3 linked regions of the Macaca fascicularis genome follow. The protein of the gene in region 2 interacts with the protein of the main gene of each other region in a pairwise test. Links are inferred from orthologs where the notes say so. Each region holds a gene or a part of one and is shown on either strand. Other genes may lie near its edges. The genes, in order: NEDD4L, ARRDC3 and OTUB2.

What was found.
Region 1: the proteins of ARRDC3 (region 2) and NEDD4L interact in binary tests that used the Homo sapiens proteins (3 or more experiments, as listed by UniProt). The link is inferred for Macaca fascicularis from reciprocal best matches to the Homo sapiens genes ARRDC3 and NEDD4L.
Region 3: the proteins of ARRDC3 (region 2) and OTUB2 interact in binary tests that used the Homo sapiens proteins (3 or more experiments, as listed by UniProt). The two-hybrid records come from large-scale screens. The link is inferred for Macaca fascicularis from reciprocal best matches to the Homo sapiens genes ARRDC3 and OTUB2.

Annotation. Positions count from the first base shown.
Region 1 is NC_088392.1:22,602,513-22,612,626, forward strand, and holds part of NEDD4L (E3 ubiquitin-protein ligase NEDD4-like), read right to left. Parts: intron 8,146-10,114; coding exon 8,080-8,145; intron 6,450-8,079; coding exon 6,220-6,449; intron 4,706-6,219; coding exon 4,584-4,705; intron 2,102-4,583; coding exon 2,031-2,101; intron 1-2,030. UniProt on the Homo sapiens protein: E3 ubiquitin-protein ligase that mediates the polyubiquitination of lysine and cysteine residues on target proteins and is thereby implicated in the regulation of various signaling pathways including autophagy, innate immunity or DNA repair.
Region 2 is NC_088380.1:95,374,252-95,384,465, reverse strand, and holds the start of ARRDC3 (arrestin domain-containing protein 3), read left to right. Parts: upstream 1-5,557; 5' UTR 5,558-5,782; coding exon 5,783-6,062; intron 6,063-9,085; exon of another isoform or gene 9,086-9,390; intron 9,391-10,046; coding exon 10,047-10,128; intron 10,129-10,214. UniProt on the Homo sapiens protein: Adapter protein that plays a role in regulating cell-surface expression of adrenergic receptors and probably also other G protein-coupled receptors.
Region 3 is NC_088381.1:162,049,700-162,059,813, forward strand, and holds part of OTUB2 (ubiquitin thioesterase OTUB2), read left to right. Parts: intron 1-4,075; coding exon 4,076-4,171; intron 4,172-5,659; coding exon 5,660-5,778; intron 5,779-10,114. UniProt on the Homo sapiens protein: Hydrolase that can remove conjugated ubiquitin from proteins in vitro and may therefore play an important regulatory role at the level of protein turnover by preventing degradation.

The sequences.
Region 1 (10,114 bases), on a different chromosome or scaffold from region 2:
TATAAAAAATAAATAAAGTTTTTAAAAAGACTGAAAATATCTGAGGAAAATAGGAAGGATAAAGAATGTTCTAGGCTGGGCTTGGTGGCTCATGCCTATAATCCTGTAATCCTTGGCTTTGGGAGGCTGAGGCAGGAGGAGGGCTTGAGGCTTGGAGTTCAAGACCAGCCTAAGCAACATAGCAAGACGCCATGTCTACAAAAAAATAAAAAATTAGCTAGGGATGGTGGTGTTTGCCTGTGGTCCTAGCTACTTGGGAGGCTGAGACAGGAGGATTGCTTGTGCCAGGAGATGGAGGCTGCAGTGAACTATGGTTGTGCCATTGCACTCCAGCCTGGCAAACAGAGTAAGATTCCATCTCCAAAAAAATAAATAAGTAAAATAATGTTCCAACTAAGAAACACCAATAGTTTTAAGTTATCCTCTTTCCTGCACTTTGATCACTCTCCAGGTTAATGTCAGCAAAAAGGGTGGCCGCTCTGGTTTCAGAATCCAGAGGAGCAGTCACAGGCCTAAGCGCCTGTCCCTGGTCCCTCCACGGTCTCTCCTGCTGGGGACACGACGGGCTGTGAAGAGGGTAAAAATAATACATGCACTGTATTTTAGGCACTAACTGTCAGCATGTGGTATAAAATTAGACATTAAGAGAAACTGCTATGCTCTTTATGATATATGATGTATGCTATGCTCTTCATCACTGTATGATGAAGCAGCAGAAAGCACAAATACAAGGTGAAAATGGAGACTGGAATCACAGGTGTGCACCCAACCCACCATGACTGGCAAACCAGCGGCGGATTCAAGGGCACTGCTGGCCTCTTCCTCTCCTTTCATACGAGGAGGAACAGAAACACTGAGTCAGCACTGGTCAGGGCCGAGGACACAGCTCATCTACCCAACCGTGCCCAAGATATAGCTGGTATCACAGCCAGGTGACGTCATGGGGCTTTTTAACTCAAGTGAGCAAACACGAATGTGCTGCAAATGCCCCAAATGGACAAACACGCTTCCCAGTGGCCCATGTGTGTGCTGGTGTGTGGGCAAACACGCATACACTCTGGAGGTAGATGTGGGGTATAGGTACATTAAAAGAAAAAGAGAAGCGGAAGTATATTATAAGAAGAACATCAATTTTTGTTTTGTAGAAAATCCTGGCCGGGCGTGGTGGCTCATGCCTGTAACCCAGCACTTTGGGAGAATGAGGCAGGAGGATCACGAGGTCAGGAGATCGAGACCATCCTGGCCAACATGGTGAAACCTTGTCTCTACTAAAGTACAAAAAAAAAAAAAAAAAAAAATTAGCCGGGCATGGTGGCGTGTGCCTGTAATCCCAGCTACTTGAGGGGCTGAGGCAGGGGAATCGCTTGAACCCGGGAGGCGGAGGTTGCAGTGAGCCAAGATCGCGCCATTGTACTCCAGCCTGGGCGACAGAGCAAGACTTCGTCTCAAAAAAAAAAAAAAATCCTTCCAACTCTAAAATGGTCTAGGTAAAATTAATGTTAAATGCAACATGAAAACCCAAATCACTACTTGGAGAACGTCTCGAGTGTTCACTTGTCTGAGCTGTGGCGTCACTCATCCATGTCTAGGATGTCTGCCTGATATTCTTCCTATTGTTTTGACCTTTGCCTCTACCATTTTTATGAGGTCAGGAAACAGAGGGAGAGTGGATGAAGCTCTAAACATTCAGTAGCAGCAGTTTTTATGGGAAACACAGGCTACCATAGATCTTCAGCTGTCTCTTGGATTTAGTAAGTTCACACGAGTCCTGTGCCGGGTAAGCAGAGGCAACTGGGATTTGGATGTATCCACCCTAGGTACCATGGTCCCAGGAAATGTGAACAATAATATTTACTTATTACAAGAATTAGACAGATCAATGAACTTTTCAAGCAATTAAATGTCTCCTGTTGTTCACATGGAATGCAACACCCATAGAAGTGGCTGAGACTACAAACATGGCTCTCCAATACCTTCCCATAAGACACAAGTGCCTGGTGATGGCCAGTGTGTGACCTGCATTTACTCACCACAGATTCCATGTCATTCAGGGTTATCTGCTTTCCCAACATCATCTTGTAAAATGGTCTAATGAAGAAACCTAAAATACGGTAAACACTGGGTTTAATTTCAGGTCTTTGATACTGCTACGTTATCAGAGCATGAAAGAAAAGATTAACTGGCTTTCAATGTAAATGAGAAACCAGGATGGAGTAACCAACGGCCTTCTGCAGTATTGCACGAGTGAGGCGGCGAGATCGGGGGAGAGTGGCAAGAGGAGGGCGGCTGCGCTGAGAGAGATGGCGCAGCAGAGTGGGGCCAGAAAGGCCTCTGGAAGGTGACAGATGAGCTTCAAGGTCAAGCAGAGTCCACAGTGCAAATCAGGCATAGGAACTGGGGAAGAAAAGGGTACACTAAGCAGAGCCACAAGCCTGGGGACTCGCCAGCAGTTTGCCAGGGCAGGTAGACAGGCCAGAGGAGGGGCCGGCAGTGCACAGCCCACATGGGGTGCTGGAGAGTTGGGGTGCTCTCTGAGGGCAGTGGTGAGTCAATGAAGACCAGGTGAAATTCCATCTGTCTTTTGTTATCATTGCTCGGGCAGCGATGGGGAGAAAGCACAGGAAGGAGACAGGTTGGAAATGGGGGAGGCCACGGAGAGGGCCTGTGTAACCTCCCGGGGAGGGATGGCAGAGGCCTCAGGTAGGCAACAGCAGCGAGGTCGACCTCCCCCCATGCAGGCATCCTGCAGGGGCCTCCATTTGACCTGATCTAAAGGCATCACACGTCTCCTCAAAGGGGGCCCTGACCACACCAGACCTGGCACCCCAGGCTCCTGCTTCTGCTCCTTTATCCGCCCACCAGGCACCAACCCTCTGCAGCACAGGCCAACTCTCCCCGGCTCAGTGTGGCCCCATAAAGGCTCCAACAGACTCCATTGTCTGGGGAAGTAAAAGCATGAAGCCGACCAGGGGGCGCAGTGGACAGATGTGCAGAATGAGCCCTGCCGACAGGGACATTCCCATCTGTGGGAAATTTGAAGACACTGCTGACTAGGCCCATCTATGTGCACGTGGACTGTTAAATGTGCAATTCCAGGTTTATATCGTGATCACTCTCATGGGGGTCACTTTAGCCAGCTCCTAGAGACCCTGGTTCTTGCTTCTGCCCATCTCCTTCCACAGAGCCTGGACTCTGGGCCAGTCCTCACTCATCTGAAATGATCCCAGCCTCTGAATGCTCAAATGCTACCCCACCTCCGAGGTGTAGCTCTTCCTGGGAAAGATTCCCCGAGCCGCCGGCCAAGTCACTTTCTCTTCTGAGGACTCAATGTGTTCCCTTCTGCTCGGACACTATCACTGTGATTCTTCTGGTTTTGTTCTCATCTCTTTTCCCCCCACTAAAATATAAGCTGACTAAGGTCAGGATCATATCTTGTGCTTCTCTAATACCCCCTGTTATAGAGAGTATTAAAGACGCTGTAGCAACTAACAGCATCTTCTCACTTGCATATGGTGACTAAACTGACCTTCTGAGAAAGTTAGAGTGAATTTGAGCAGGCTGAAATAATCTGTGGCAAGACTACAAAGCTGGAAATTAAAATATATTCACACTATACATACATGGAAAGAGTATGTGGTTTAGTTTCCTTCTAGAGGAAAAAAAGTGTTTACTGTCACCCTCCCACCAAATAAAGCATTACAATCAGAGCATCAATATCAGCTACCAATTAACAGTAAAAACATATTCATGGGAAAAGTACAGAGGGTATACAAATTATTTATTAGAATAGCTAGGGCTCCATAAATGCAATGAACACAGTTCCCTTGGAAATATCTTTCTTGTAAGTTATTGCAATGTTAATCTCAAATTCTACTCTCCCTCTTCCCATCCTCAACCACTCTACCTCCAAGCTCTTAAAAAATATTTCTGATGCTTTTTCCTTACTGATGATTTCTGTAGTGTTTTCTTAAGGACGCTATTTTGAATTGGCCAAATCTTTTAGAAGTCTCCAAGCCTATAGATAATGCCAGGTAGAGGGTTTGACTTCTAACTTTCAAGGTACCTTGAAATTCTTCCATGATTTACATGCTTTAAATAAGAATGAAATTATTTTGTGTTATTTGTTTCAGGGTTAATGTCTTAGCTGAGTGGTAACATTATTTTGAAATTATTTAGTCCCTTCAAATTAAAAAAATAATTTGGGGACAAATGCAATAATCACACAATATTAGATGGATGAGATCATTTTAATTAACTTTTCAATTAGTTTTTCCATCTGTTATCAAATCTTGCTTTCAGTAAAGTTATTCCAGAAAACATACAAATGTATAAATACATAATGTTCTGTGCTTTACAATGAAGTTAAAAAAAAAAACTTTTGTTTTTAACTGTGTGTAGACATTATGTCTTCAGTGCCCAAAATAAGCTACCAGAGAAAAGCACATCCATTATGGGCGAAACATAAAAATACTTTATGAGTAAACCAGTGAAGCTTTTGCTTAAAAACTCATGATGCAAAAGATAAGACACCTACCAGCAAACCACAAGCGGCACTGACCTATTTTTATTACTTCAAGACTTACCATCTAAGAGCTTTCCATGAAATACGGCCAGACCAGCAACTCTTCCAATAAAAGTGAAGTAGGACAAATGATCTTCATTACAGAGGCCTGAATTAGGGTTGATCTGAAGAGTGTAGTTGTCCCTTTTGAGGAGAAAGAGAAGAAAAGACCAATCACACTTTCAAATGCAAGATTTTGCATATTTCTTTGCCACCTGTCACTCAATTTCTACAGTGTCCTTGCAAGCATTCTGTACCTAGTGGGAAAAGGTGTGGGCTAGAGGACCTGACTTACCACCTGCTCAACCATGACCCACCATGGAAGCTGATGCATGTGTACTTTAAAGTCAATTAAACCATAAGAAACTGCTGATGTTTGACTGTTTCTGATCCACAAAGTGTCTATTTCCTATGGTTCAGCCAAATATCTTGGGGAGATAAGAAACTCCACATAATAAAGGGGCTGTGCAGGCATTCCCAATGATGTGGGTACTTTAGGTCGTGTCTGTGATAAAGGAAGGTTAATTCCTTCCAGAGGCTTTTGGCTTGGCCATAAGATGTATGCTATGGGCCCAACCCTTGGTCTGTCTTCTGACCACTACTCTGCTCTGAAAAGGCCTCAAGGGGATTAGGAACAGGATATGGCTCTCTCAATGAGGCAAACCTGCAAGTGTTTAGATTTGTCCAAATGACCTTGCTTGGTTCACAATTATGTGGATCAGTGGTTTTCAACCGGGGTCACAGACAGTTTCCTCCAGGGGGGTATCTTTGAAAATGTGGAGGAGAGGTAAAGATCTTGTCTCTCCCCACCCTGCCCTCCACCTTCAGTAGTTGGATAAATTGTCCATAGTGGGCTTTCTCATGGGACTCAGTAATAATAACAACAGACCAACTGGGCAATTCTTGGCTAGAGCAACTGAGAAGAATGCACTGAGGTTGCCTTCCAAATGAGCCCCCAGGAGATTGGTACCACATGGGAGATGTGGGAGAACCCACGTCCCCTTAGGGCCCAGGGTTAAAGTGATGATAAATACCCTTCAGCAAGGTCAGTGACTATTCTACTGAGGGCTTGGGTCCAGCCTAACCCTTGGAGGATTCAGAAGAAGGAATGGCTGGCCTGGAAGTAGCCGATCTTTGGTTGCTCAGAAAGCAATTTAGTCTGCCTCAGTTTCCAAGCCTGGCAATGATGAAATCCTAATGCAAGGGGAAACCTGATTCTTTCCTCACAGGAGCAGGGCATGGTCCTAGGTCCTCAAAGTCCTTACAATTTGCCTTTACCCAGAGACCTCGGAAACAACTCTTGTTCAAAAAACACCTTTTTGTTTTTGCATTCTAACACTGACAAGTCCTCCTTTTGAACACTGCAAATGAAAATCGCCTCCTATTCCTTACCACAATTATCCACGTTTTCAATTTCAACTCCATGAACCCATTAGATAAGAAAAAAAAAATCAATGTTAGATGTTCACAGAGTACACTATTTCACCAGGTAGAGTCAGAACCTGTTCTAGACTTGCAAGGGGCTGTGGGGTGAGGAGAGAATAAACTCAACAGACTTACTGCATCTTGAACTGGTGAGCTGCTTATTCTTTCATTCTGTTTAAATTCATACAACTGTCTCAGTGGGGGACACACTCTGGGTGTGGCCATATACTTACGTGGCAGAGTACTCAAAGAGGCCGTAGTAGGGGTTGAACATCTCTTTGGACAGTAAGAAGAACCATTCTCTGGCCACACCCCCGTAGTCAAGACCTTTCTCTGATTCAAACTCAATCCACAGTCTAGCTTTTAGGACATCTGGTCTTTTCACGGACATAATTCTCCGATAGGACTCTTCAAATATGTTATTTCTGTGAAGTTTCATTTCAAACCTATTGGGGATATCAGCCTACACAAAAGACAAAAGAAAACACACACAGTAAATACACGTTTTGTTTTCTAATAAAAACAACAACCAAGGGTAGGAAAGTTGGCAGTCCTCAAAGAAACGAGCAGTGACAAATGGTTCCAATTGAGAGTCTCTCCTTCAGGGGTTTTCCCTTGCAGACAGAAAGCCTCGCTGTGTCACGATGGACACACGGCATCCGCTAGCGATGCTCAGGAAAGTCAGAAACTCTGCTGCGAAGGAGAACAGCCTCCTCACCCCCTTTAATAAACAACTGTGGGCACTCCTCCAGCATATGGCAACTGAAAGGCAGTCAACTGTACCTGTTGCTTCTCTCAAGAGACTTTAGCCCAGGTAATCAAAACCTGTAATAATCCCCACCTGGCCAGGCTGGGGCCATGCTCAACTCTGGCAGGGCCGCGAGGTGGTAGATATAATCCACGGTGCCTCAAGTCCATTTTGCAGCCATGGGGAGCGGGACCCTGATTATGCCAAGTGTGGGGAAAGCAGCCCAAAGCATGGTTCGCTTGACCAAGGCTGCGGCAGCTGCCTCCTGCAAAGAGGCAATCCAGGCTTGGTCTGGCTGTAAGAATGAAACTGCAGAGATGTTTTCCGGGTAGCAGACACTGCTATGTGAGAGTCAGAGAGCCTGGGTGATGACCACAAAGTCATTATCATTACCAGGGGACGTGACTCACAAAGAAAATTGTGGAATTTTTAGTATTCATCTAAGTTTTGAAGGCAAATAATCATTTCAATAGTAGTTATCCATGAGCTCTTGAATCAGGACTTTGGAACAGAGACCAAAACTCCTAAATGAGATCAGAGATTGTGCCCCATCCAGAGACGTCCTGGGCAGGAGGAACCGGCTGAGGGGAGGAGGCAGGGAGAAATGGCAACAGAGCCCAGGCCACCGGAGGGGGTCTGAGCTGCAGCTGATTCTCCCCCCTCCCTAGAGGTGTAACCATAGTGATGGAGAAAACCAAAGAGAAAACTGCTAAGGAGGAATTGGAAAGTAAAACAGAAGATGCAATGTTGAACAATTTGGGGGTGGTGAGTGATTAGAAAATCTAATGTTATAATTTAAAACACTGCCCATAAAAATTTTTAGAGTTTCTAGGTTTGAAACTGCCAGGGACAATTATAAGCAGAAAATTACATTTGCACCTAGTACTGCCAATTACTATAATTAAATATAACTTTATATTATAAATATTGTAGCTGAAACTAAGCTTTTGCATTTGCAAGGAAGGACCTGAACATTTTTCTAACTGGGATCCAGGTTTATTAAATATGATAACTGTGCATAACTGAATGGGTTTCCCCAGATTTTGCGACTAGGGTTCTGAATTATTTCATATCCCATAAAAATCGTTCCTGTCTTTTTATGTATTACATACGAAATTACCCTTCAGGTGATTTGATACATAATACTGAGTTAATCTTCACTTACCATTTCTGTTAAAAAGAAAATTCAGATTTCAGAACCAGGAGGATCAAAGTGCAGTGAGAAAAGGAAGGTAATATTTTTAGCATTCATCTAAAAGTAACAACCAAGTTGTTCTCACTGAAGTAACTGTGGTAACTTACAAATGACTAACACAAAGCATTTTTGGAAGGCATGATTACTCACAGGTTTCTTTAATTTCTTCCTGAAGTAGTCATATTTCTGCTTAAACTCTCTGGAGTAAGGAACAGCCTGGAAGATAAATTTATGAATATAGATAATGCAAACAATACACTTGAAATTCTATGTATACTTAGGCAACATTCAAGAGAATTTCATGAATCATAAACCGTAAATTCTCACTTCTCAGATTATCCATGGAAAAATCAGATCATGTCTACACAGCACAGGGGAAAGTCCTAGAACTGATGAGGACTAATCAGCTTTGAGTGTGGCTTTCACCCCTGAAAACAGCTATACTGCATTTGGGAAACCATTTAGGGATATGCTGCACAAACTAAACATGGTTTCCAAGTGACTTTTGTCAGAATGTGAGTCAGGGTGCTTCTGTTTTTCTTTTTTGCTGTGGTTTAGGTGACAGTTATTGGCTAGATACTTTTAACATACAACCCCAGAACGACCTATGTTGGCATTTGGAAAAGTCTAATTATGATTTAACAAATTTTTGTGGGGAAGTACAATGAGCAGAAAGGGAAGTGAACTGACACTCCTATCAAGGAGTATAAAATCAGGCAGATGGCATTCTCAAAAAATCCTCAATTTAGGAGTCAGAAGGTTTGTCCCTTAATATTTAGTGGTCTTGGGCAAGGATTTCTTAAATCTCAAATGCTTTATCTATGAAACAGAGTGATGGTACCACAGTTGAGGGCTCAGGAATTAACTATGCTCATTCAAAAGCTGTGATTTCTCTTCAGGCAAAGGAGTAACATCTTAATATAGTCATTTAAATAATCTTTATTTCCTATGTTGTAAAGTGGCTTATAGTATCTTAAGAGTCAGAGCCCTGACTTTTGGCTACTGAAAAAGCCTAACGATATTTTTATGAAGCTAAAAGGACTGGTTTTTGTATATACAGAGATATTAACTATGACAGCCTCGAAAACAACTCATTGCTTTTTAGACACTAGTATGAATTTCAGCAGAGAATACTTCTGCTGTTATCATTTTGGCCTAAGTTAACAAAATATACTGATGCTTAGTCTGATATCTCCAGACTCCAAACCTTACACTTTTACCATACTTATCTTGACCAGAAAGAGAAGAAATGAAGAACACGAACTTCCCTTCTTTATAGTTTTAAGACATGTTTATATAAAAAACTAACCCGAAACAACACAAACCACCACTCTTCCAGAAAATGAACATGTCAGTGTTTCGCTCTGTAATTCAAGAGCAATAAATACACCATCTTTATATAGCTTAGGAGCAATCCATAGACAATTTATACTGCCTATGGTCTTTTCTTAGTTTTTAAGCCAGTCTTCTTTGATTTTCCACTGAACAACAGATTTGACCTCACATGCTATTTATTTTAGGCAGTGTTTAGTCTGATGAAATCACATAGCAATTCTGAGTCTAGGCAAGGTATAAATTTGTTAATAACTGGACAACCACCGAAATAAGAAAAAGAATACAATGTTCCAACATAAGCCAATAAAGAGATCATGTTTTCTGCTCTACCAACAGTACATCACGTCACAAACTAAGACTTCCTCTCTAGTTTATTTCCCACTTTCTGGTGTTCATTCTGATCCATTCAACCGATACTTCTTGAGCACCTACTCTGTGCAAGGCATTTTAGGTGCCAGAAACATAACAGTACATAAAGCAAAGGTAGCTTTCCCAGTTCCCTCCTGGAGCTCACAAGCCGCTGAGAGCAACAGGTAATTGGAAATCAATGAATAAACCGTGGTAGTGCCATGAGGAAAAAAAAAAGACCCCATAGGAACTAAAAAAGTGACTTCCTTCCATTGCCCCTGCCAGCGTTAGAACGCCTGAACTCTCGGGTAGATCTCATCAGCTGGCTCTGCAACACACTCTCTCTACTAAGCAGTTTCTTCACTGTTAAGTGGAAGGATTTGACTGGATGAACAGACGTGACTCGGCTCTTCTATTTCTGAAAGTCTGTGATTCCCAGCAATTATTTTTTGTTTGTTCCTGTTTTCATGAGGGTTCTCCAAACATCATGGTTACATCACAG
Region 2 (10,214 bases):
AAAAAAACAAAGAAGGAAGAAGATAAGAAAATAACAGATGTTGGCAGGCTGTGGAGAAAAGGGAATGCTTATATACTGTTGGTGGGAATGAAAATTAGTTCGGCCACTGTGGAAAGCAGTTTGGAGATTTCTCAATTAACTAAAAATTGAACTACCATTCGACCTGGCAATCCCATTACTGGGTATATACCCAAAGGAAAAGAAATTGTTCTACCAAAAGACTCATGCACTTGTACATTCATTATAGCAGTATTCACAATAGCAAAGATATGGAATCAACCTAGATGCCTACCAATGGTGGACTGGATAAAGAAAATGTGGTACACATATACCATGGAATACTATGCAGTCATAAAAAAAGAATGAAATCATGTCCTCTGCGGCAACATGGGTACAGCTGGAATCCATTATCTTAAGTAAATTAACACAGAAACATAAAGCCAAATACTGCATGTTCTCACTTACAAGTGGGAGCTAAACACCGGATACATATGGACATAAAGATAGGAACAACAGACACTAGGGACTACTGCAGCAGGAGTAGGAAGGGTTGAAAAACTACCCATTGGGTATTGTGCTCACTACCTGGGTTATCAGATCAATCATACCCCAAACCACAGCATCACACAGTATACACATGTAACAATCCTGCACATGTACCCCTGAATCTAAAATGAAAGTTAAAATTTAAATAAATAAGAAAATAAAAGCAAAAATAGAATGGGTTCTCCGGTTGCTTAAAGGCAGGGGGTTGACTTAATGACTTTAATGGGTCTCTTCAGCCCTTTCATCCCTGGGAGAGTAAAATTTTTCAAAGTAGATATGCTATATAAGCTACATATGCTATATAAAATTATCAAAATGTTGTCCAGGAACGGTGGCCCACACCTGTAATCCCAGCACTTTTGGAGGCCAAGGCAGGCAGATCACTTGAGGCCAGGAGTTCAAGACCAGCCTGGCCAATGTGGCAAAACCCTGTCTCTACTAAAAACACAAAAATTAGCAGAGTGTGGTGACACAGGCCTGTAATCCCAGGTTGAATCCAGGAGGCAGAGGTTTCAGTGAGCCAAGATTGTGCCACTGCACTCCAGCTGCACAACAGAGCTGTCTCAAAATAAAATAGTCAAATGTTTGAAAAACATTTTTTTTTTAATATTTTTTGAGACAAGGTCTCACTCTGTCACCTAGACTGGAGTGAAATGGCACGAGCTCAGCTAACTGCAGACTCAACCTTCCAGACTCAAGTGATCCTCCTACCTCAGCCTCCTGAATAGTTGGGACTACAGGCGCATGCCACCATGCCTGGCTAATTTTTGTATTTTTTGTAGAGACAGGGTCTTGCTATGCTGCCCAAACTGTTCTCAAACCACTGGACTCAAGCAATCCTCCCACCTTAGCCTCTCAAGTTCTGGGATTACAGGCATGAGCTACCACACTCAGCCAGAAAATATTTTATTATAGCAAGTAAAATTTTACCCTCATTATACAAAGTTGTGCATAGTCAAAATTTATAAAATAGTTCAGAAAAGAAATTTAGCATTCCTAATTCTTTCTGTAGACAGACGCCATTTGAGCTTAGATGAATAAACCTTACCAACTCATCTTCTACATGATAATATGCACTGTCATAGCTTAACTGGCAATGCTTTTCTTTAGTTGTACATCTAGATGAAAATACACCAAAATGTTAACAGTGGTGTCTCTGAATGGACAGACAGTAGAATTATGGGTGATTTTCTTTTAATCAAGAAACAAAATATAACAGATTAAATGGTGTTCACATAACACAAATTACACTATTTATTAATGAAGGAGAACAGAATCCAAATTTGATAGTAATTTTCATCACAAAATCCATAACATATATAAAAGTCTATTAACTATGAAGAATATAGAAAACGAATCTACTCATTTTGCTAATAATAGCAAATCTTCTCTCCAGTCTGCATGCCAAATTTGCTGCACCATGAGAATATTAAAGAGTTAAGTCAGAGTTACAAAATCTCCAGAGTTAAGACCAAAGGGGAAGAAAAAACCCTTAGTTTCATAGCACTCAGCCTATCAGCTGCTAGTTAAAATACAGTAAGCATAGATTTCATATTTTTCTTTATGAAACAGATTCTGACTACTGGTAGGGTTTTTTTTTTGTTTTTTTTTTTTTTTACAACCAAACAACAAAACTTCCAGTTGAGATGGCTTCCTTTTTTTAAAAAAATAAAAATATTGAGCATGTTGATATAATATGCAAAAAACTCCAAACTTGGCAGTAATCTTGACATATCTCCTCAATATCATACACCTTGATAGCAATGATCATTTATCAGTCTTTGATAGAGTTCTTGAGATTGAGTTCAAACTTTAATATATTAAGGTGAAAGAGCCATTTGACTCAAAAGCCAAAAAGCAAATATGAAAAGAGATTCCTACTTAAGCTCTGAAGAAGCAATGAAAGGGGGATAGGAAGTTAGTTATTCAGTCTAGTTGGAATTTTACTCAGTTGTGCCAACTGCATCTAGTGGAGGGATTAGAAAAAAGCAAAGGAGATAACATAGTAGTGGGATGTTATTCTGGGCACCAAAAGCACGTGTAAGTGCACACTGGCAACAGTGAGACAAGCTAACAAAGGGGACAGAAGATGTACTTGACAGGAATATAGAAGAGTTAGCAGATGAGTAGGCGGAGATGGCATATGAGACGTAGGCTGGGGAGCAGTAGGAAAGAGCCTTGGTGGTAAAGACAAATAGTTTAAATATAATACAAAATACAATAAGGGCCCGGTGAAGAAAGCTGAGAAGCCCAAGATAATGTCTACAGTACAGCATTTCAAGCTGTCTAAGAAGTAGATATTTAGACAAAAAATCTGAAAGGGGGAAGTTATGAAAGCAACAAGAGAAAACATTCAAAATCTGGTCCAAGTGTTTTTGTTTTTCTTTTAAGAAATGAAAAGATAAAGAGAGACCAGGAGCGGGCAGCTCAGGTCTGTAATCCCAGCACTTTGGGAGGCCAAGGCAGGCGGATCTCTTGAGGCCAGGAGTTCGAGACCAGCCTGGCCAACATGGTGAAACCGTCTCTACTAAAAATACAAAAATTAGCCGGGGGTGGTGGTGCGTGCCTGTAATCCCAGCTACTCTGGAGGCTAAGGTAGGAGAATCGCTTGAACCTGGGAGGTGGAGGCTGTAGAGAGCCAAGATTGTGCCACTGCACTCCAGCCCAGGTGACAGAGTTGAGACTCCATCTCAAAAAATCAAAATGAAAATGGTAGCTGGTAAGAATTTCTTGGAAATTTGCCAGTTACCTAAGTATTTAAGAAGACACAGTAAAAAGAAAATTTAAAAAATAGCAAAATAAATAATAAAGACAACTATTCAAAAGATCCTGAAAGCTTCAAACACAAAGAATAATGTACTATACAGTAACAGGAATGAAACATTTAATATTTTAAAACAATTTTCCAAACTACAGATAAATTTCTTAGAGTTCTGTTTTATTAAATGCAATTCTGGTGTATTTAATTCTTTTTTCTGAAATAAGTTATATTCTAATTAAATAAATTTTACTAAAAAAATCTGAATTCAGCTATTGTTCACTAACCCTTAATAATTTTTAACATAAAGGTAGACACAAATGTGCAATGAATTTATGTATTCATTGTGGACTACACTTTTAAATCCATTCCTTGCTCAGTGGTTTTTGAATGCTTATTAAGTATCATTGACATTATGCTGAGGAAAAGCTGTCATTCTAGGAAATTCACCACTTCTACCACTAGGTGGAGAAAAAACACAAGTAGTATCTGTAATCAAAGCTAGTACAAGGACTCAGGTACTTTACCTAGAATTTCCACCAGGTGTCAACCAAGAGGGGGGGAAAAAGATAAGACTGTTTTTTCCACTTAAATATGCAAATTTATAATTTTACGCATAGCGATCTAAACTCTGAAATAAATGGCCTGCTCATTGTCTAGTTTGCATATTTATACTTTTTATATATTGCTGTTGAGTCCAAGATACTGCCTTGTCAACTAAAATCCAGCCCCCAAAAGCTTAGTTTCTTTTGAAATAAAGAAAACAGCAAGACCAATAAGTTTAGTTTATTGTGACTCATAGGTTCAACCTACCCAAATACACTACGCAAAAGAATCTAAAATGTTTAGACACGGACAGCCAAAAATCTTCCAAGGTATTTTTGTTCATACATATATAGAGAGAGAGAGATAGCACCAGATTCATATTTTTTCTTTCTACATTTCTCTTGTAAGGCAGTTCTGTTGATTGCCAGTAATCTAGATGAGTTTATGCTGTTATGCTCTGAATCCCAGTGTGATGTGACGAAAGCACTGCTATTTTTTACCAAACATTCACAATAAAAAGAGAAATGTACCTATATTTAAGATGTATCATGAGAATTACTACGTTAAATGGTCCAAGGCTCTTTCGGCCGAAAATTAAAGCTTCACAGTTAACCCCTATTTATATACCAAATCATGCTTTTTAAAAACAATTTTATGCGCTTCACTAATTTCTAACAAAGATTTTCCGATTCTGTTGCAAACAATATGTCAGCTAAACCACTATGTCCTATGCCTTTTATAAGATGGTACTTTTTTAGGCCGAACTCTATTCTTATTCCTCTGGACACAGGAGTTGTAATCATGTCTTACTCTGCAAATCTAGCCGTAGGTGGTGTCTTAAAAAGGACTTTTTCTTCCTTCGAGGAAGTGGTCAAGCTTCCCCCCAGCCCCCACCCGTGTCATCCTGGAAACAACTTGGTTGTTTTTCGGTGCTATCTAATTAAGCGATGTAGGAGAAAGAAGTTGAGGAGACAAAAAAGCCTATTGATTACATTGTACTTGCTTCTCTACCTCGCTCTTCAAAGGACTAAGGTTCCTTTGACCTCGACTGAGTTCATTTCCACCCTGCCTACAAAGTACTGGTTTAAAAAATATATATATATATCCAAGCCAAGTATGCTCTTGTCTATGAACAATACTTCTTGTCCAGTTTTATTACGTTTTCTTTGAAAATTCGTTAGATTATGCTCAACAATCGGCCGCTTGCCCAACCGGTTTCTCCCTTCCCCCATCTCTCTTCACACATCACTTTTTCCTCCTCCCATCCAGGCAGTTGGTAAAACGCTGCAGTGCCAGTAACGCACGCTTTGGGGTGGTCACTGCAGTTTATCCTTACTTGGCTTTGCAAACTCCCCACCCAGGCCTTGTCCCCTCGCGCCCCACTCTGCCATTATCTTTCCAGTAGAGTGTGCTCGGTAAGGGGCTCCAGATAGCACGTCGAGGGTATACGGCAGCCTGCCTACCAATAGGAGCCCACAATGAAGAGAAGTCAGGTTCAGCCGGCCGGCAGCTCCAGTATCTCCTTCCCCTAACTCTACACCTACTGTACCCGGGAGCGAGCGAGCAAGGGAGGGAGCGAGCGCGGCGCGGCGCGGCGCGGGAGGGGGCGCGCAGGGAGGGCGGACAGCAGCCGCGGCCTGCGCTTGCGCATTGGGGTTGTTTTTCACAAAGCTGCTCTTAAAGTGAGCTGGCAGCCTTTAGCCGCCCGTCTTTGTAAGGAGACCACTGAGACGAGCGGGAGCGCGGAGCAGCAGCTTCTGCTGCCCTGACTTTTTAAGAAATCTCAATGAACTATTTGTAGAGAATCACTGATCCGGCCTGCAAGCATTTTGCACGGCAAAAATATCGATCAGTGTTAAGTGAAGATCACATTTTATATGCGATCTTGACTTTTTTGTCTTACATTATATTTTTATAGATTTTGTTATAAACATGGTGCTGGGAAAGGTGAAGAGTTTGACAATAAGCTTTGACTGTCTTAATGACAGCAATGTCCCTGTGTATTCTAGTGGGGATACTGTCTCAGGAAGGGTAAATTTAGAAGTTACTGGGGAAATCAGAGTAAAATCTCTTAAAATTCATGCAAGAGGGCATGCGAAAGTACGCTGGACTGAATCTAGAAACGCCGGCTCCAATACTGCCTATACACAGAATTACACTGAAGAAGTAGAATATTTCAACCATAAAGACATCTTAATTGGGCACGAAAGAGGTAAGTTTTTCTGTTATTCAGAAGTCATTGGACTCATTTTCTTTGGAAACGTACCTTTTCAGTTTTCTGAATTAACGTGATTCTACTCATAGTATAACTAAGCAGTTTGATAAAGGTTAGCAAAGTTGGAAGGTTTGGATTCTCCTTGACGTTCATCGTGTGTTAAGCCGTAATGCATGCAGGCATCTGCAAAGTGACTGCAAACTACACTTATTCAACTACCTCTATACCCGGCTTGGTCTGTGCCATACGCGCTTGTAGTCCATTTGCACCTTATAAATTCTGCTTGAATCCAATGCAATCGTTTTACTAATATATTTTCAAATGAATTGCTAAAAGCTGCAGTCTTAGATTTTTGCCCTTTTACTTGCAACCTAAGATGTAAAAACTAAACTTCAATCAAGAAATGTAATAACATTTTTAAGAGGCTTAATGGGCGTGTTTCATTTTTAATTTTGGAATGCAAAAGACTTTAAAGAATTGATCACTGTGCTTTCATAAAAGGTTTATGTGGCTTATTTTGACATATGGTATCAACACCCCACGTGTTTTTTCTCTATTCTTTCCCATTCCTTTAAAAATTTACACCCAGCATTCCTTATTTTAAAGGGTACTGTCTGTCATTATGATAGGTATCGAGTCAGTTTTAGAAGCCATTTAGGATCAGTAATTTTCTTTTCCGAGCATCATGTCTAACTTTGGAACGTGCATTCAATGAAACCCATGCCAGTCAAATGGAATTGAAAAGTATAGGGCACACTGGATTTGATTTTTGGTTAGAAGAGGGAGATAAAGGGTTGTCAAAGGGAGAAGGAGTCCTGAGATTTCCAATCTATTGTTTAAGTGGTTACATTGTGGAAATATAGGAGAGTCTAGGCTTGTTTTTCTAAGTTTCCACCCTTTGTTAGAAGCGGTTCAATCCTGTTTCGGACCAGTTCTGGGGGGTGGTGAGGAGGGGCGCTTGTTCTGCTCTCAGCAGATTGGTTACACGCGTCAGGTGGTGGCGATGACTTAATTCCTAGCCCAAGAAGAATATAATGTTAAAACTGGTTATGTAATTTTTGTGCCTCTCCTTTTTAATGCAGTATTTAGTTCAGATGTTGGCGATTTTTCAGAAAAAAATTAGAGCCATATTTTACCTTCTTTTTTATATTAAAAACGTACATCCTGGAGAGGTGCTGATGACTGAACTAAGGCAAGTGAGAAATGAAGGATGCTTTGAGGGGCAGTATTAATGCATGATTTCTGAAACTATTAAGGTGAACTCAGTTCTTTAGTAGGATTTTCGTAGATACAGGTACTTTGCATCCTGAAATAACTAATTAATGTCTCCAAGCGTTAACACTGATAGGAGATGCAGATGCCTAATGACAGTCTTGGTATTTGTTGAAAAGCAGATAGATGAGTTTGTGTTTCTACCTTTCTGAATATTGCAGCCTTTTATGAAATGGGTGAAAGAAACAGATTTTTCTTCAAGAGGTTGAGACTTGCAATGGGAGAAAAGTAGAACAATGAGTTGTGAGGACAAATATTTCATTAGTTACACCATGATTTCATGGTAAAGAAAACTAAATGCCCTGCACCCCCAACAAAATGCCCCCCCAAACCCTGCAACGCGTAGACGAGCTCAGTCTGGAATAGTTTCAATGACTTGAAACTGGGAGCTCTCAAACTAGCCTGGTAACTGAGACCCCGCCCCGGGCGCCCGGGATAGGCGGAGCCAGGTTTGTTAGCCTGTTGCTAAGGCGATGGCAGGCGCTGATTGGATTGGGCGCGGGCGGGTGGGGAGAGGGGGCTCGCGCCGCTGCTGGGGCGAGGCTAGGAAACCGGCGTGCGCCGGTAAAGGTCCCTCCAGAGCCACCCCCACCCAGTCCATACTCACGTTTGTTCCCGGGCTTCTGGGGGCGCCCGGCCCGTGTCACATCACGTTCTATCGCCCCTCTTTTGGGCCTGCTAAGGACCATCGAAAGGAAACGACTGCAGGCTTTAGCTGAGTTGAGGGCAGACGCTCCTGCCGGCCTTACAGGTGCCGGATGGCCCGGGACCCAACTTTAGTGGAAAATCCTTTTCAGATGGAATTTGGATGGGAAGGGTTGGCAGGACCCCCGTTAGCTATCTGCCGGGTAGGAGGTGTCAGGGGACTCCTGTGAACGCTTCTGAAACAAAGCGTGTTCCCCGACCTCTCCAGTCGCCACACTGGCTACCTTGAGTTGACCTGAGGGGACAGAGCAGAGGCTGGCCCGGGGAAGAAAGAAAATGATTCCAATATCGAAATCTAGGTGGGGGCTTCGAAGGGTATCCTCTGCCCCCTCCCCCATTGTTTTCCGAAAGCTTCAGGCCCCCGCCTCCCCTCGGCCGCCCCAGTTTCCCTCGCGGAAACTAAAGGTGTCAGAGTGGCCCGAGCCAGATCGAACCGGTCGCCGGCTGGGGCGTGTAAAGCGGAAGCGCCGCGGCTCGCTCGCCCCGCCCCTCGTCCAGCAGGCTAGGTTGTGCGGGCACGGGCGCGAGCGCCGCGCGACGTATGCCGTATGTATAGCGGGGCGCGCGGGCGGCGGCGGCGGCGCGCGAGCAGGCCGGCTGGGATCTGCTCGCGCCGGTTTAGGCCGGTCCTCTCCTGCTCCGGTCTAGTTCTTGATTGACAGCCCGGCACTTGTTTACCACTGCGCGGCCGCCGCCGCTCGCCTCAATGAGACTGCTGAGCTGGCACAAAAAGGGAGCGAAGAGGGAAGAAAGGGAGAGGAAGGCGAACTTTGGGCGCCTTCGAGGGGAGCGAATTTAAATGGCCCCCAGCTCATCAGCTAGTTTTTGGTTCTGAAATCTGTTCAGGGGATTTGCACAGGGGACGAGGAAAATTGTATGGAGACATATGCGAATTACCGTGATTTTTAAATAAAAGTATCGACGTATACATGCTTTTCCCCCCTTTTCTCGTTTGATATCAGGGAGGCATCACGTTTTTTGTGTATATTCAGTACTTTGCTGAAGAAAAGTTAAAATAATATGCCAGTTTTTTCTACTCTGGGGGCTAATCGTAAAGGTTTCTACACCGAGAAAACTAAAAGATATTTCTGTAATTATTTAGAACGCTAAATAAGCATTTTAATTATCTAGAACCCCCTCCCATATTTTCGATTATATTTCTTTATTTTCATGCCACTTGAAAAACAAATTTGACCCAAAAAAATGGTTGTAAAATGAAAGGTCATTCCTTTTTTATAGAAACTGGAAACTGTTAATAATTAGACTTCATCTTCTTCAAGAATGTCCGACAATATTGTTTCCTTATAAGCAGGCACCTCCTAAATGCGGTTCTTGGTAATGATCTAAGGTATAGTTTATGCAAATTTTAATCGTTGCTAGGACTGAGTATTGTGATCACTTTAGGTCAATAAATAATTATTTTTAATTACAAAACTGACATTAAAATCAATGTGTGTGCTCTTTTTTTTTTTTTTTTTTTTTTTTTTTTTTCTCCATCTATTTGACAAAGTTTTCTAGTGGTTTTGGAGTATCTATTCTATTCACATCTTTGGCATTATTCCCCCTAAACTGACATATTTTTAAAAGGGTTGCACGAACAGTTTTTATTTGATACATTGTAGTCTTCATGCGATAAATTTAAGCAAACAGCTGGAGACAAAGATAACATTATCTTACCATGATGTGAGACCCGAGCCTTTTGAGTATATATACTATTTTATCAACAGATGCTTTACAGTTTGGGTCATTTTCCATTTAAAAAATAAAAGTCTGTGGGGTGTGAGTATTCATTATCCCCATTTTACAGATAAGGCAGCTGAAAACGGGATTTTTATTTCGTCCAGAGGAAATGATGAAGTTAGAATTAGAACTCGGCTCTCTCAGACTCCAAAGCTTGTTTTGTGGTCTTAATTATTATGTAAGCATCTTTAAAGTTATGCCACCCTGCGGAGTATGTAAATGTCAAATAATAAATTCTTTGTTTTCTTTTTATGTTTCTTTTAGATGATGATAATTCCGAAGAAGGCTTCCACACTATTCATTCAGGAAGGCATGAATATGCATTCAGCTTCGAGCTTCCACAGACGTAAGTATTATAAATAATAGGCATTTTTATACATACCCATGATCAGAGCATTACTTTAAAATTAAGTATTCTAAATTTAAACACTT
Region 3 (10,114 bases), on a different chromosome or scaffold from region 2:
TTCACCGTGTTAGCCAGGATGGTCTCGATCTCCTGACCTTGTGACCTGTCTGCCTTGGCCTCCCAAAGTGCTGGGATTACAGGCGTGAGCCACCACGCCAGGCCCCCTCATTTTAACTGTTGATGGCAGTTTTCTGCATTGAAGTACTTATCTCTGCATGTTGAAGATTAATTGCTTAAATCCATTCCACTCCTCCGTTGATTACCTTCTCAGACACTGCAGAGGAAATGTAACAGATTTTGTGTCCTCCTTCCGCCATTTTGGTTTTGGTTTTGGGCAGTCCACACACCAGCAGTATTAAATATAGTTGTTCTACTGTTTGATCTATGATTTAAAAAGACCCAAGCCACCATTTTAAGTCAGCTGTCTATAAAAACAACAAGACTTTTATATAGTATAAACAAATTGTTAGATAAATAATGAGACTTTGAAATGAAGTCAGAGCATGAGTGCAGAGCAGGTGCGCTTGCTTTTCAGTATTACCTGTTTGTCCTTCTACCATCGACGCAAGGCAGCAGAGAGCGAGCTTTCTTTCTGAAACGTACAGAATCCTATGAATATTTGCTGTATTAGCACGCAGTTATGAGTGCCAAATTAATTGTACAACTAGCAATTGTTATTATGCTAGTAATGTCAATCTTTCATGATTTAGAATAGACAAAAACATGTTAACTTTTTATAAATTTGCCTTTGAAGTCAATAAATCTGGCTTGGTTTAAGTTAAAAGAAAAAACACAAATGAAAATGGAATGATTTTAAACTCCGAGTCAGAGGCCTGCCCAATCTGGAGAAGAGAGACTAGCAAAGTAGAAAGGAGTTCAAGGTATGCTAGAGGCTGTCTTTCTCCTTGACACGATTAGAAGACTTGAAGGAAGTGGAAAGGCAAATCACTTTCCTTCCAGATATCACTGATGTATTTTACCGCCGTGTCTGGATATTGCCTGTAAATCGTGTCCTGTTCCACCTGTGATGAGCATCTCTTGGGCTTGAAAACTCTGTTGTGGACACTGAGCCCCCAGGATCAGAAGCTGGATGGAGAACTTTCCTGGGGGAGGCCTCAGGGGCAGGAGGTCGGGACCTGGCCTGTTGATAAGAAGGCCCTGGGCTGCCCTGCATGGAATGTCCCTTTGTGTTTAGCAGCCTTGATCCCTCAAGACCTCTGCGTTCTGCCTACCTAGCAGTTTGGCATGGTAGAATTTCCATGGGCTTCAGAGTCAGATAGATCTGCCTAAAATTGCTTCTTAGCACAGGGCACGTGACCTTGTCAGTAGAATGGGCATAATACCCATCTCAGGAGGTAGTTGTGAGGATTCAGTGAGATAATGGGGACATGTCAGCCTCTCTCCCCGAGCCTAGCACATAGTATGTGCACAATAATGGCACCTGTTATCACCTCATACCTCTTGGGCCTAGGGTAGCAGATCGCCAGATCATCTTCCATGTGTTGACTTTCAGCCTCACACTCGCAGGGTGGCTGCTGTAGACATTGCATCTGCACTAACGGCGGGAAGAAGTAAAACACTCCCATCTCTGTTCCTTTTATCCAAAACCAAAAGCTTCCCCAGAAGTCCCCAGCAGACTTTTCATGGGTCCAGCTGGCCAACCTCAGCTACCTGACTGCCCATAGCTGCAAGGGAAGCTAGGAAAATGGGAAAGAGGTAGGATTGTTGTGACTTACCCAGTCATTTTTCATTGTGTTGTGGGATTCCATTAGTGGGGAGGAAACGGGTCGCGGCTGATAAGGCAGAAGCCCTCGGCACCTGCCCCCAAGTGTTACCTGATTCCTCCTGATGGTTTTCCTGTTGCTTTGCCAGCCCGCACTATGATGTCAGGGCAGAAGGAAGGAAGGAGTCTGGGGCTGGATTAATTTAGCAAACAAGGGTGGGTACAGCATGGAAGCTTCTAGAAGCAAAATCCAGAATCCCTTCTTCCAACCCCCCAAGTGTTTGCATGCCCTGTTTCCACTTTCGGAAGCATTCTTCATCCAGTTCTTCTTCTTTTTTTTTTTTTTTTGACAGAGTCTTGCTCTGTTGCCCAGGAGTGCAGTGGTGCGATCTTGCCTCACTGCAACCTCTGCCTCCCAGGTTTCAGAAATTCTCTACCTCAGCCTCCTGAATAGCTGGGATTACAGGCACGTGCCACCACACCCAGCTAATTTTTTTTGTATTTTTAGTAGACACGAGGTTTCGCCATCTTAGCCAGGCTGGTCTTGAACTCCTGATCTCGTGACCCACCCACCTCAGCCTCCCAAAGTGCTGGGATTACAGGCATGAGCCACCGCGCCCGGCCAGCCCATCCAGTTCTTTAGGACAATGGATTCATCCTCTGTTTTTAAGCTTTCTTCTGGGAAGTTGCCCTGAATCCCATGTTTGGGGGAGATCATGTTTGGTGCCACCAGAAAGGGAGAAACGGAATAAAGTGTAAGTTCAAGGGAGAGCCCAGGACCGACTCAGATGAGGTGAGGAGATCAGGGAGGCTTCATGGAGGAGGTAGCTTTTATGCATTTGTTTGAAGAATATCTCACCCCCTGCTCTGTGCCAGGCCCTTGGTGAATGGAAGATGGCAGACAGTATGACAAGCTGTCATCCAGGCCCCCTAAAAACACCCCTGCCCAGTCCCAGCTTCGCCCCTGACCTGATACTGGATGCAGGGTCAGGGCCAGATGGAAGTTTGCAGTCTGTCCCATGTGGAGGCAGGAGCAACAAAAGTCATTGAGGCCTCATTATCCAGTCTCATGGTCCAGCTTTCTGCTTCTGTGTGCTGAGCTTTGGAAAAAGCTAATCATCCAAAATCCAGATCTATTTCTTCAGGTGAAGAAAGGGGTTTGTAGCGTCAGAGGACTCCTATCTGAGCAGGATGGTATTGGGTTGAGATCATTATCTAGTCAGCGATGAGGCTGAGAGGCTACCAGGGAAGGCCACTGTGGCCAATGTGACATGAAAAAGGCCAGTTACAACTGCATGTCAACAATGATGGTGATAAATGGATGGAAAACTAGATTTCTATTTACAAAAATCCCAATTAACAGTGACCATCCACAGTACTCTATTGCATAAAAATGGTCTCCTCTGGTTGTGTGCAGCAGCCAGCCTCACTTGTTTTAAGCTATAAACTGTAAGTGGCTTTAACACCATTTCTCTCACAGTATGTTCATGCCGCAATCAAAGCGGCTTTGGGTGGGTTGGAGGCTAGAGATGCAGCTCTCGCTTGTTTGAGCCCTGCTGACAAGATAGCACAAGGCGGAGACCAGGCCCACGGGGAGCTGGCTGCTAGAACGAGGTATCTCCTGCAGTTTCCTTCACCCCGAAGCTTCCTTTTGCAGTTGCCTCCTCCCGGCCCGCCAATTTCTTCGCAGGCCTGGAGAGACCCTGCCTGTAGGAGGCTTGTCTTTCTGGGTTGGAATTGAGCTAGACCTAGAGCTGGGTTGTAGTATAAACTTTCTCCGCTAGGTGGTGCATGAAGATGCCCTCCCGCCCTGTGCTCCCTGAGCTCAATCTCTTGACACCTTCCCTGGCATCTCCGTGTACCAGTGCCACACAGTGCGGCCTCTTCTGGTGACCTTATCACCCCCTATCTTGATTGTTTTTCTCTGTAGACTGTGAGCCTTGTGGGTGGGGGAGTGCTAGACGTTCCTCCTTCTGTATTTCCAGCATGTGACACAGTGCTGGGCATGTGGATGTTCAGGAATTGTTGGATGAATCAAAGAATGAATGAATGAATGCATGAATGAGAGAGGAGGGACGGAAGGAGACAAAGGGCCTTATCCTCAAGCCTGAAGGCTCATTAGGTTCGAGGTACACATTCTGTGAAATGAATCAGGCTTCAATAACAAGATGAGTTTCCTTATAACCAGGGCTATCTCTTCACGATGGCCCTGACCCTGACGATCCCTGTCCTAGAAATGTGGCGATCCCAACAGGCGTCTAGGATGTTGGTAACATACTCCCAGCATGAGAAGGTAGGAAGGTCCCATTCATTGTTGTCTGTAACTGGCAGTTCAGAGGCCACCAGCTTGCGGAGTCCCATCCGTTGCTTTTGAAATTGTCACAGTATTTCTTCCTTCCCTATCTTCCAGAGTGAAACATCTTTCAACCTAATATCAGAAAAATGTGACATTCTATCCATTCTTCGGGACCATCCTGAAAACAGGATTTACCGGAGGAAAATCGAGGTGAGGCAGAGGGCAGGGAGAAAAGCATCCTAAAATAAACAGGCTGGAGTTGGGAGTGTAAAGGTGATGCCTCTTTGAAGGCCAATAGTTTGGGCCAGGTTCCTGGGCAAATGAAAGGATTCCTAGGATATTTCGATGTTGGACATTTGCCTTAGCAATACATCCTTTCATTCCAAAAAAAAAAAAAAAGGATTTTTTGTTTAAAAGTTTAGCACTATCCTAATGTTTTATTTACTCACTGAGACTTCACTACAACTCTGTGAGGTAAGTACTTTTATTACGCCCATTTTACAGCTGAGGAAACTGAGGCACAGAAATTAAATTGTGGCCATTTAGCTCATGAGTGGCCAAGCTGGGATTTAAATCCAGGCAGCCGAGTCTCAAGCCACATTCGTAACTGCTGTGCCAGGAGACCTCTTGGAGGGAAAGTGTACTCCAGTGAGGCTAAAGGGATTTGTGGGAAGGCTGCAGGGATCGCTCACGGAGCGGTGACCCGTGGGTAGCCGGAGGAGCTGGGTACCCACTCTGTCCCTCTGGCAGCAGGCCCCGGCTGCTCTCTGTACTCTGCAGGACTTCCTTTCACTGCAGGACAGGCTTGCTCTGGCACTGGCCCCACAGGCCCTTCTCTTTGAGTTCCTCTCAGACACGCAGCACCATTGCTGGACCCCGTTACTTATCCTCAGAGACTCTGATGGGTCCAGCTTGGGTCAGATGTCCATCAGCAGCCAGGGGTAGTGGTGTGGGCATCATGTGATCGGAACGCCGCTGCAGGGGCACTTCCAGGACAGGAGCTGGGCTCTGCAGCCCGCTGATTTTCGTGTCTCCCGGAGCCCTCCTGGGAGAAGAGCCAGGGGCTCCAGAGAGTCCCTGCCTCCCCACTGCCAGCTGGCCTCAGGTGGGCCCAAGTCAGCTCTGAGCCTTCTCATGGCTATGGGGGGAACACGAACTCCCAGACCCCTTGAAAACCATCCTCTGCTGTCAAAACACTGCTTATAGTCCCATGAGGCAGGAAAGGGGATTCCAGGCCAGTTCAGAGGGACACCTACTTATTGCTAGGAGTGGAGCTGGAGCCTACCCCTCCCTCCCCTGCTCACACATGCAACCCCCCAACCCCTACTTCTGCTGGCTCCCGATTCTCTGTGCTGCTCCCCCAGGAAGGCTTCCCCAACTTCCAAAAGCCAGTGCAATGCCACTGCCCTGTGGCACCCAGCCGTGCACTCCTTCTGTCCTCACAGTGCCACTGTCTAACTATCTATCTTCCCTCCCGGACTGTAGGCTGCCGGGGGGCAGGGACGGACACACAGGACAATGCAGTGTATTTTTATATCAGGGGGATGAACGAGGGTGGGAGGCTGAGGGGATAGCAGCCTGAAGGGAGGGAGCAGGCATTTCCTGGGAGAGATGGGGGGCACCTGGCTAGTCCCAGCACCTAAACCACACAGAGCTATTATTGGTGCAAATGCCCACATTTCTTTCTGTCCCCTTCAGGAACTCAGCAAAAGGTTCACCGCCATCCGCAAGACCAAAGGGGATGGGAACTGCTTCTACAGGGCCTTGGGCTATTCCTACCTGGAGTCCTTGCTGGGGAAGAGCAGGGAGATCTTCAAGTGAGTGCCGGGGCCCCTTGGGCTCTCAAGGCTATGTTCTCTGTGCTAGGTCAGCCCCAAGTCTCTCGGAGGTTTTTGTTACACTCGGGCTGGTTAACCCAGAGAGTGAGCTGAAGGGCTGCCTGGCAGAGGCGTTTGATGTTGGGGGAGCCCAGCTGCCTGCTGTGGTGGAGTTGGAGGCAGCCAAGGGGTGGAGGATGGAATCTGTGGCCTCCCAGATGCTTTCCAGCCTCTGCTTCCACCACAGGCCTGGGTCAGCCCAGGTAAGTCGCGTGGAGCAGGTGCTTCGTGACCCAATCTGAAAAAAGAAAACACGAACAAAAAGAAGCTTTGCCCCGGTGTTCGGCATAATTCCTGTTGACCTTGGTTTAGAGTGTGTGTGACCCAGGCATTCAGCTGTCTGGGCCTGGCCCTGAGGTCATGCTGGAGAAGGTCTGTGTCCAGAGCTGCCCCTATCCTCTCGGCTAGTTCAGGGTTTCTCATACCTGAACATTTGTACAAGGCCCCTGATTCTCTAGTCCATAGCAAGATACAAAAAGCAAAGACAAACAAACCCCTGAGACCTGGCTAGGACGCAAATTCCTGTTCAGGGGGAGCAGGGCAGAGCCGGGACTGCTTTCGTCACTGCCTCCCAGGAGATGCTGATGCCGCTGGGCCTCAGACCACGCTTTGAGGAGCAAGGAGCTAAGAGACCCACCTGGCTCTTAACCTTTGGGGGTCTCAGAGCCCTTAGAGGCTTTGGTGAGGGCCGTGGGCCCTCCTCATCTGAGACCCGCACCCAAATGCCCTCTGGAAACAGTACGGGGGGCAGTGGGTCACAGAGCACTTCTTTGGCTAAGGCAGGTTTCTCACCAGCGGCATGACTGATGTTGTGGGCTAGATCATGCTCATGGTGGGGGCTGTCCTATTGTAGGCTCATTAGCAGCATCCCTGGCCCCCACCCATGAGATACTAGTAGTAACCCCTTCCCCAAGTCATGACAATCAAAACTGCCTCCAGACACTGCCAAGAATCTCCTTTCGGCGGAAAAAAAGTTGACCCTATCTGGTTGAGAACTACTAGGTTAAGGCCATCATCTCCTGTTCAAAATATAGATGATCTCAAAGAGGGTAGAAGTTGAGCCATCTATTCCTTGGCTGAACCGTTCAGATTGTTTCCCCAGTGACAGACTGGCAGAGCCCCTTATGATGAAGAGTCAGCTATCTCAAGCCATTCCCCTCCCCAACTTTCTCAGAGCCCTGTGGGAACCAGCGCAGCACAGTGCAGGGATTATGACCCCAACGTCATTTCCCTATGACCCATGTGCCCTGGAGTTGTGCCACGCAGCAGCCCTGGGCTCTGAGGTCAGACCTCACTCTCTTGCTTACTTGCTGTGCCACCTTGGGCAAGTGACCTGACCTCTCTGGTCCTCAGTTTTCATGTCTGTGGAAGGTGGACATTATAACACACTTCAGGATGCTACTGTGAGGACTCAGTGGGTGATGCTGGTCAAGCCCAATGCCTGCATCTCTCTCTGCACCAGCCCACGTGCTCTGTTCACCTTTCCTCTGTCCTGTCTCCCTGCTCGTCAGCACACACGGGTGCCATGCTCAGACCCTGCTCTAGGCTGTGGGGATACTGCAGTGAACAAGAGAGACAAAAATCCCTGCCTTGTGGGGCTTGCGTCCTAATGGGAGAAGATGGACAGTACATGAGTATCATGTTTGAGGTGTCAGATGGTGATAAGTATTGTGGGAAAAATCAAGCAGGAAGGAGGCCGAGGAGTGCAAGGTCTGGCGTTGTCTGTTTCAAGTAGGGTTGGAGAGGTAAGGGCGGCAGGGCACATAGCACCTCAGGCCTTTCTAAGGACCTTGGCTTTCAGCCTGAAGGACGCGGGAGCCACCGAAGGATTGTGCAGCACGGGGACCTGCCCTGCTGGCTGCTGTGTGCAGGACAGATGGGGGCGGAGACACGGCCAGGGAGATGTGGTTGGCGAGAGATCCAGAGGAGGAGATGGCCGTGGCGTGAGCAGGTGGATGCAGTGGGCATGGCAAGAAGTGGGCAGGTCTAGACACCTGTGGAGGTGGCAAAGACAGGATTCGTGCCTGACTCACATGTTGGACATGGCAGAGTCAAGGATGGTTCCCAGAGATTTGGCCTGAGAGTTAGCAGGATGGAGAAGCCGTTTGCTGCAAGAGAGGGCTGAGGAAGATCAGGAGCTGTGTTTTGCGATGCTGTCTGAAATGTCCAGGAGTCATAGAGTGGGGGTGTCTGGTGGGCACTGGAGGTATGAGGCTGGCGTTCAGCAGGCAAGCCGGGGCACACAGGTGGTAAGTCAAACCACAAGGCTGCATGAGACCACCAGCATTTTCTCTTCCTTTTTTTAAACATTTTCTTTCTCTCTTTATTTTTTCTTAAGAGATAGGTCTTGCTATGTTGCCTAGGCTGGCCTCGAACTCTTGGGCTCAGGCGGTCCTCCCTCCTCAGCCTGCATCTTCTTACACAAAAACCGAGACCATGTCACTCACAGGCTTGAAATATGCTCCTGACCTCTAGGAGCAGTGGAAACCCCTGACACCAAGGCCCTCCACACCAGGCCCCTGCCCCTCCTACCCCATTGCCTGCCCACCCTGAGGTCTAGGCACAAGGACCCATTTATCCCACACATACCAGAGCTTGTAGGCATGACATGCCGCCTGATGCTGCCTTGGCCTAGGTAGCCCTGCCTCTGACCTGGCTGTGGGTTCTTCGGGCCCCAGGCAGGTTGCTTCACTCACTCCTCTGTAGCTCCTTTCCCCAGCTGAACAGTGGCCATAGCCCTGTCATGGACATTAAGTGATTGACTCGTGAGTACTTGGAACACTGACTGGGGTGTTCTGTGCTAGCTCTGATTGTCTGCATCATGCATCCTCCACAACCTGCTGTCTCCTTGTGTGCAGCGAGCCCAGAGCCACCCAGGCAGACACTTGTTCTCTGCTCAGTGCTGCTGCAGGGCTGGAGCAAGCGTGTTGCAGCAGTATGCTTGTTCCAGCCCTGGATCTGGCATACTTGCTCTAGAAGTATGCAAAGTACTTCTGTGTGCCAGAGGCTTGGAGAACACGTGCTTCCTTTGAGGGCAGCCACTGTTACTACCCAATCTTACAGATGAGCAAACAGAGCCTCATAGAGGTCAAATGACTTGCCAGAGGTCCCACACAGGCTTGTGTGCAGCCCCAGCTGTCTGAACTTGCCCCCCTGCCGAGCCCCAGTGCCATCCTTCCCCACATCCCTGGCTTGCCTCTTGGGGGTGCATGTCCTGGCCTGGGGGCTTGCCCCCTTCTAACAGGGCCTGTGACCGCATGCTGCTTATCTCTGTGTCCCCAGTGCCTGGCACAGAGGGGCCCACAAGTCACTGGCAAGGAAAGAATGTGGAATGAGGCAGAGGTTTGGGGGTGGGAGTAGGGGCAGGAGAGCTGGGAGCAGAGCAGTGCACTTCATGGCCATGCAGGGACAGAGTGGTCCGAAGAGGGTGCGGGCCCTTGGAGCGGCCCTGGAGGACTGCAGCTGCTTCCTGGAGCTGCTTCTAGTACTCTGGCCATGGGCCACCTAGGCCACAGCTCTAGACAGAACGGGGGTGCTGATGAGGGTGGCTCCTGAGCGAGAGGCATTAGTCAGCACTGACCATCAGATCCTTGCCGTGGCCCGGAGGGGAAACCTAGGTAGCAGGTACCACCGCAGTGGAGGCCTCATCCTCCCGGGCAGCCCTCCGTTCGCCCTCAGCACCCCTGCAGTCAAGGCGTCATCACCATCCACACCTGTGCCAAAGGGGAGCCTATGGCCAAAAGCCACAGGGAGACTTGACAGGGCTGGAGGGGACTGTGGCTAGAAGTCAGCACAGGATCCATCCCTCCAATCCAGGCACCTCACTCCGCAATCAGGACAATCTAGTCCTGGCCCAGGCAGGACTCTTAGATATGCCGGGACCAGCCAGGGGCAAGCGGCGTCTAGGCAAACACTCCTACTTCTGAGTTAGGAGACTGGCTTCCCGTCCACACCCACCACCTTCTCCCTCCTCACCGCCCCCTGTCCTCCTACAAGGCACTAGGCTTTTCCGGAGCACAGCAACTTCTGAGGTGGCCCAGGCCTCTGTATTCCCTTGTGAAACCTGCCGCCTCTTGGGTCCTGTGAGAGCCTCGTCTCCGTTCCTAGGGAAAGTAAGGGGCTGGAGAACTAGGTGTGGCTTTAGTGTTCTGCGCCTGCCAGCTAGTCACCCAGGGCCGCTCACCTGGTCCTTGTGGGAGGCAGCCCTTCCTCCATACCTCATTGCTGCCACTAAACTTGGAGTGTCCTGGAGCCAGGGCCAGGCCCAGGCCCAGGC